Linked DNA regions of Neodiprion lecontei. The protein of the gene in region 1 purifies or fractionates together with the protein of each later gene. This does not show direct contact. Links are inferred from orthologs where the notes say so. Each region holds a gene or a part of one and is shown on either strand. Other genes may lie near its edges.

Evidence for each region.
Region 2: the proteins of spastin (region 1) and nuclear pore complex protein Nup133 purify together in Homo sapiens (affinity purification with mass spectrometry; 3 studies listed by BioGRID and IntAct, counting the BioPlex papers as one, with this or other methods). This does not show direct contact. The link is inferred for Neodiprion lecontei from reciprocal best matches to the Homo sapiens genes SPAST and NUP133.

The regions. Positions count from the first base shown.
Region 1 is NC_060266.1:1,222,781-1,226,707, forward strand, and holds the start of spastin, read left to right. Parts: upstream 1-1,403; 5' UTR 1,404-1,792; coding exon 1,793-2,357; intron 2,358-2,886; coding exon 2,887-3,057; intron 3,058-3,925; coding exon 3,926-3,927. Other genes in the region: uncharacterized protein LOC107218303, read left to right, coding at 1-500. UniProt on the Homo sapiens protein: ATP-dependent microtubule severing protein that specifically recognizes and cuts microtubules that are polyglutamylated.
Region 2 is NC_060264.1:18,456,825-18,460,751, reverse strand, and holds the start of nuclear pore complex protein Nup133, read left to right. Parts: upstream 1-1,574; 5' UTR 1,575-1,703; coding exon 1,704-1,816; intron 1,817-2,184; coding exon 2,185-2,524; intron 2,525-3,000; coding exon 3,001-3,318; intron 3,319-3,927. UniProt on the Homo sapiens protein: Involved in poly(A)+ RNA transport. Involved in nephrogenesis.

The DNA.
Region 1 (3,927 bases):
ATATTCCGAGCAGGAAAAGCGCCCTAGAAAATCTCAACAGGTCCGTCGACTCAGACGAGTACATTCCGGCCATCGTGAATGAAGAGGGCGTGGGTACCAGTGCCCTGGACGATCTGTACGTCCCGAATTCAGTACCAAAAATACTGAATTTCAACGAAACCTACGAGCCGTTCAGCTCGGCTATTACGACCAGCAAAATACCTGGTGAATACGTTCCTAATTCGAAAGGATTGAAAAAGAAGATGGAGGAGTACCAGCCGGACTTCACCAGCAAGACAATGAAGTTTGACAACAGCTACGTTCCGTCGAGCTCAGCAAAAATAATGGAGCTTAAGAAAAATGGTAGGAAGTCATCCCTGGGCGGCAGCAGTAGTAGCAGCAGTGGAAGCGCAAGGAAGAAGAGGAGTAGAGATACAGAGTCCAGTACTCGCAGGGAATCATCGTCTAGGAAAAAAAATTCCCCTGCCACTCAGAGTACGGGTGTTAAGCGAGAAATGTGATGTGAAATTCAACGTTTCAGGGATGAAGTTTCAACCAAGAGTAACTTCCATACTTTCGAGGTCTGATTTTAAAATATTCACCCAACAATAAGCTTTTACAAGATTTTCAAGAATACTCCGAAGCCAAGGGTCATCAAGTGTCCCTAAACTTTACGTCTTTGCACTTGTAAAGTCGTATTCAAGGTGACGAATTTGCTCGTTTCTTAGACATCTTATGTCTTTGTATTATTTAAGATAATTTATTCAATCTCTCCTAGTACTGTAAAGAGTTACAGACATCTTGTGTATAATCGTTCTATTTTTGTGTAATGAATTTCTGCTTTTCTTTTCGCAGCAAGTTTCCGAGAAAGATCGACACGGAACAACATTATTATTCCACTACGTTATATCTAACAAAGGTCTCAAAACAATATTAATAGCCTTTTCAGTTAGATTCAACTTACGAAAATGTTAATCTTTATCCGTAAAATTGCTTGAAAAAGCAAGCACTCGTCTATTCCTAAGTGAGGGTATTTGAGTAGTAAGAGAAATTTAGGGATGTATATCGTTTAATTTTCCCAATGTGGAAAGCGTGTGATATTTTTGTAAATAATATAAATGAATCAGAGAGTGGGTTATATATTCGTTGTACATGTTATATTTGACGTACTAGTAACAAAATGTGAATAACAGCAAGCTTATTATATCCATGATACATAGGTATATTTTTATCAGACAAAGTTAATAAATACACGTTGCTTATTGTCGTTAAGATCACGGAGTTAATTATCTTTTAATTCGTTCGTTTATCCTAGAGCAGCGAATAATGGAACCGGATCTTTCAGCGTCGGGCTTCGGACCATTCGAAACCATTTGATGTTTCGTCAGAGTTTGATTTCTTTACTTATAAGTTACGCCATGAAAAAATTCGAAATTTGTCGCTTTCGGGACTTTTAGTAATCCGGAATTTCAACCCCGCCCCATATTTGGGTGAATTTCGAAGAATCATGCGTGTTGCGACGGGGCGGCGCGCGTCGCGTGTAATAAATGTATATACACACATATAATAAAGTCTGTAAGGTAAAGCCACGAGTGGCCGTTTAAGTCAAATTACCGTGAATCGAACGGCGAAATACAGTGGTTGAAAATCTACCTGTCGGTCGGGGGGGGGGAGGGGGATGGGGGGTTTTAGTGGTGTTGCGAATTGTCAGGTGAATAGAAAAGCGGCGTTATTGCGTAATCCGTTTCGCGAACAGCGAGAGCGGTGGTGGGGTTTGGTCGGTGGCTATTTGAACCTTTGATTTGAACAGGAAATGTCGTACAGCGATGGCGGGCGTTCGATCCGCAAGTCGAGTACGAAGTCGCCGAAAAAATTGCGAGTGATAAAGAACGGCGACAGCGACAAGGTGACAACGACGACGATAAGCTACCACCACCACCACCATCACCACTCGGAGGGCCACGGCCCTCACCCTTCGATTCACAAGCGGAATTTGTACGTCGTCTCGTTCCCCCTGATATTCCTCTTCAACGTTCTGCGCACTTTGCTCTACCAGCTATTCGTGATATTCAAGTACTTCTACACGTCGACCTCGCGGCTATTCCTCAGGCGTAGCACCGCCAATATCGCCCACGGCAAAAAGAGCCTCAAGGCCAACTGTCATCTCGAGATTGTCGTCGGTCAGCAGGACGCTGACGGAACCGAGAAAGATAACCTCCTCAGCGTCGTCGACCCCGAGGCTGAACAGATGTCCCAGATTCCGAGACGCACCGCTGGTCCTGGACCCGGTGATCCTCTCCTCGCTAAACAGAAACACCACCACAGGAGGGCCTTCGAGTTCATCAGCAAGGCCCTCAAAATCGATGAGGAGAACGAGGGTAATCCTTCTTATCTGTCGCTGATCGTTATCTCGGCCTTGTTTACCTCTTCGAGTCCGGTAGAACCTCGATTATCCAAACTAATTGGGACCGAACCCAGTTCGGATAACCGAAAAGCAATTTTTATCTTAAGGGATGATAACATGTACAACAAAAATTTGAATCCACAAGCAGTCTATATTAAAAATCGAATTATACGTTTATCCTCTTTCAAACACAGGACGCTTATTTTATTGGTAGAAGCAATGTTACGATTGGACTGACGCCGGAAGATGAGAAATTCTCTCCAGCTTACTCGAACATGTTCAGGGCTTGCAAAACTGCAGCGAGTAACAATGTACATATCGTGCACCAGAATGTATTTTCTAAGCCAAAGTTCGGATAAATCAAGTCATGGTTTGGATAATTCAGGGTTCCACTGTACTCTCTTTGTTATTTAGAGGACTCTGTTCCAGTGTCAAAACACCTTTTTATAAGCCAGATATCCGTTTTATCCTGCCTAATGACAACCTGACACACCACAAAACAGGTCATAAAGAAATGGCTATCGAGCTCTATAAAAAGGGTATCGGTGAGCTGGAAAAAGGCATAGCGGTCGAATGCAACGGCGGACGTGGCGAAGTCTGGGAGAGGGCTCAGAAATTGCATGACAAAATGCGTGCTAATCTCGCCATGGCTAAGGATCGGTTGGATTTCCTAGGTAAATCAATTTTCATGTTCCTCTTTTTGCTATTTGCTGTATCCAAGAGCAGAAACTATGATCGGTGGCTGTTCATATGCCAGCAGCGACAGATTGAAAGGAACACTAAACATAGCGTCCGAAGTCCCGAAAAAATTCTTGAGTTTATGAAATCTTGAAAATCGTTATTTTTTTTGGTACGATTCTCATATTCTAAATTTACTTGCTTACAATTTTTCCGAGCATTATCAAAAACCACTCCTTTCCTGAAAAAGCATTAAAACTTGGTGCATTGTTAATTTTTTACTGGACACGCTTTGAAAACCCTGAGACTTGCAGACAAGTTTGTAGAGTAATTGCCAAAGTATGACATTCGCTCTTGGATGCACAATCAAACTGTGTGTAAATATTTGTATAATTTCAATATCTGTGTGTATCTATACGTCAATCTCCTATCTTCCACCTATTTCTCTTTGTTCGTTTCTTTGTTGGTTGTTGTACTACACCGCATGTCGATGTTTAGCTAACTTTTTTTTTACTCTCTTCTATTCGTGATTCATCTGTGATTATTTATTTATTTATTTTTTTGTTTTTCCAAATTTAAAACGAGCATCATCATTATCATAAGCATCGCTGCGTCGTAGTACTTAGCAATACAGGCATTAAAAGAAATTGATTATGTTCTGGTTGAAATTTCCTATACGCAAGCTTTGCAAAGTAATCGAACAACGAATTGCGTGGTAAAGTTTTGGTGGCTGGTATTAACCCGAGAAATTAGGAGGGTAACTTTAATTAAAATGTAGTAGTAGTGGTATAAATATGCAAAATAAGAAACGACAAGTTGTTTCTTGGCATGGCGGAGAATGTTTGTTTGTAATTTTCCTTGTAGCC
Region 2 (3,927 bases), on another chromosome or scaffold:
AACGTATCTCAAGTTACAGACAAAAAACGAGATTTCGAATTTTCGCCATTTTTCTGCAGGAGCTCTTTCCCACGTAATTTCTCTGCCGTTGGTCCTAGTTACTTTTCGCTTGTGATTTTTGAGTCCCAGGGGGTCCAATTAGTCAGAATAGGATCATACAAGTCAAATCTGAGATTATTTATTCATTATTTACCATGTGCTTTATTCTATTAAGGTTAGAATCTTATCATGTCCAACTTTTTTCATGTTTTTCATTCTACGGTCCACACAAAAATTTAAAAACAAATACATCACTCAAACAACTTCACAAGGGAGAAAGGCTTTGACCTGACTTATTCTTCATTTTGATACCGTTGGATATAGCGTTCTCTGTGTTGCCTATCTCAGCGACAACAGCACTCTTTTCGGATTTAACGCTAAAAATTTTCTCCACTTTCATAGACCACGTTCCCAACACAGCGTTCGGTCTCCCTACTTCTAGTCTTCATGGTTTCGCGCTTAGCTGACTACGGCGCTGTAGGTTTCTTCATGTTGCCAACTCAACTGTCTACAGTGAAAAATTAGCCGTCCCAGATTCATTGTCCTCAAGTGTACATGCGCATGCGCACGCGCTGTCGGCTTGCCGCACACTCAACTGGCGGAATGCGCGACCTAGTACGAAAATTGGTCCCCTATCGAGCACACCTTACTTGACTCCTTACATCATGGTCATGAAGATCGATTATCGAAATTCGAAGTTCGAACACCGGCTTCGAAAATGCGCACTGAAACGTACCAAAACAAATTGTGAAAAGATTATGCTGTCAGACCAATATCAAATTCAGTTGAATTACAATTTCTGATGCGTATTTGCCAGTTTCAAAGACCAAATTTTCTTGCATCATTTATTCATCCCAGTACCAACTCGAAATGGATCGTCCGAGCATGAGTGCATCTTTGGGAAACACTCTAACCTCACCACGAAAGAGAATGTCATTAACGCAGTCCCTGAAGAAGAGTAATTCGTAAGAAATCTTCCTACTGTATCATTGATTTCGCAATCCTTATCTCAGAATACGGGAAATATTTCGGCAAATTTCCACTTCAATGAATGATTAAAAATTTTCGAAATCTCTTCACCAAATGTAAATAATGTTTGGGATTGAATTCGTTGGATGAAGAAAAATACGATATATTTCCGAGAGAATTTCAAGCAGTCGGTTCAAATCCCCAGTTATATTTCCATGGCCCTGAAATATAGTTTTCTACATAACCAAACCATGTGTAAACCAATAATTTCTTAGCATGGTTCATAGCTAAGATGGGTAATTAGGGATACTGGGTAGACGAAACTTGATACTCTTCAATAGTCTTATTATGAGGTTGTCGTCCCTGGAGTATTCACCAAACTGTTATAATCATAAGTTGAGGAGATATCACCAAGTTTGAGAATACAAAAGTAAATATTACTAAAGTTATAACTGAAAGCTTAAGTATCAATGTTTCGTTTCCAATTGCTGAAAGACGGTTGCAAATATATCAGATTCCAGCCATTTGTTTCTGCAGGTCCTCATTTTATTCAAGAGACCATATTGTACATATTAAATCGAACAATGTCTTCATCATAATTGCATATCTGATTTTTTGATATTATAACATTGCACCAATTTCGATTATGGTCAACAAATGACAATATTAAATTAAACACTGAAAGAAAAAAGAAAATGTCTGAGAACATAGAAAATAGTCTTCGAAATAAAATAAACTCTAGTCTAATGAAATCAATCCACACTGCTAGATTTTTAACTTTTTCGAAGCAATTTGAGATCAAGTATCGGTATGTAAGCTCTTGTTTGAAATCCCAGTAATATTTATTTGGGTATTTTTAACGTGATTTTCGTAGCTTAAGAATATAGTAATTGGTTAAATACTCAGTGTATGACAACCTCGTAATAAAATTGATAACCAGTATCGATATTTGGCCCAAAAACCTCCTCAAAAAAATATCTATGTAATGTGAAACAACGTAAGTTAATTTTTTTCAAATATTGAACAAACAACGCACATACACGCGTAGCCACCGCTAAACATACTGCGGAACTTATAAAGTATCGTAAGATTTCACCTCTCATCGAATTTCAAATCCAGCTAACAATTAAAATGCGCTTATTTGTTCTCATCTGAATATAAATTGTTCAATTCCAGAGTAATAAGCATTTCGGGGCGATCGAATCAGTCTGTCCAAGTAATATGCAAGACGGCTGGCCATGTCGTGGAAAGTTTCGGACCTTCTTTGCCGGTTCTTGTGACCGAGGCATTGACGTTTGTTGATCGAAACACCGCAGTCAGCGTCAGTGTGTCTTTAGATGGATGGGCTTGGCTGGTTTGCGGGCGCAGGCTCCTTGTGTGGCAATGCAAAACAACCATTCATGATCCCAAGCTCAGGCGGACCTTTAACAGTCAATGTCGAGAGTTGCTACTTCCTCAAAGCGACCTTGCTCACAAAGCTGACTGCATTGCTGTCTGGCTGACTCCGGGTCATCAGGTTAGGTGTAAATCTAGGTGTAACAAGGAATAGCATACCTGAAGTTTCGATTGATCAAGCTTCAAGATTGGTCGGAAAGGATTCCAATAATACCGAGTAGATCACTGTAAGACTCGGCCACAGTTTTAATAATTCTCTACTTTTCAAAAGCCTCTCAGGTTTCATTCACTTTTCAGAAATTCGTCATCTAATCACAGTATTGGTAGAAAAGTTTGGTTTTCGATCAGACTTGGTTCATCGAAACTTCAAGCATATAGGTCATAAAGAATAAAGAATTTGGTGAACAGAAAATCAAGTAATTTAATTAATTTAGATGAGAAAAAAATTTGACAAATTTAGAAACCAGGCTCCGATTCATTTTTACTGGAGGCTTTCGACTTTAACCTGGAAAATTTTAGTCTTTCTGTAAGGATGTTGTTATTATATCGCATTTTATTAATCATATTTCTCATATTTCTCATTTTTTTAATACCAAGGTTCCTAGCTGCATGGCTGTATCTCCGGAAGGCGTAGTTCGCTACTGGTCAAGCGTCGCTCATGAGGGGTCGTCGGTGGAAACAAGCGCAGAATTGGCTGGACAGGAGGTTGACTGTCTAACTTACGTACCAGGGCACGGTTGCATTTTAGCAACGACGACTTGCACAGTGGCGCTTTTGCAGCCGCAATTTACCAGTGGACGAAACAGCATTTCTTGCCGAGTTCTTCGCACCAGCCAAGGCTGGCTAGGAGGCATAAGTCGTAGGATGTCTTCCTTGATCTTTGGAGCCATGCCTCAATCTCCAGTCACTGAAACAGTACTGAATTTTTTAATTTATTTAGCATTTTTAGAGGGATTAACTAGGCTCAAAGTATAGTATAACCACCACTCACGAAATCATATGAAATCCTTTGAAATTATACGGTGAAATCTCAGGAAATCTACTGAAATCCCATGAAACCTGTTGAAATCGAGTGAAATTTTTTGAAATTCCTAACATTTTATGAAATATTCTGAAATCCTGTAAAATCCTGTGAAACCTCCTGAAATCATTTAAAATATTTGATATTTTTGTAAATACAAGAATCCCCTGAGACTTCATAAACTGTTTTCAAATTGTTTGAAATCCGGAGAAATTCTGTGGAATCTTGTGAAATCATTAGAAACCACCAGAAATCACTAGAATCCTTTGAAATCTTATGAAATTCTGTAACATTCTGGGAAATCTTGTAATATCTATGAAACCTTAATCCTTAAATCTGCTATACACACAAATTGATGAATTTATTTTCAAATAATTAGTGCTCGGGTTTTGTGGAGCAAGAGATATTTCAATCCTAGTTGCACATTTTCATTAAGTTGATTAAAGTTCATGCGAAATATTCCATGTAGCTCGTAGCAAATAATCTTTCAATAACAGGTGATT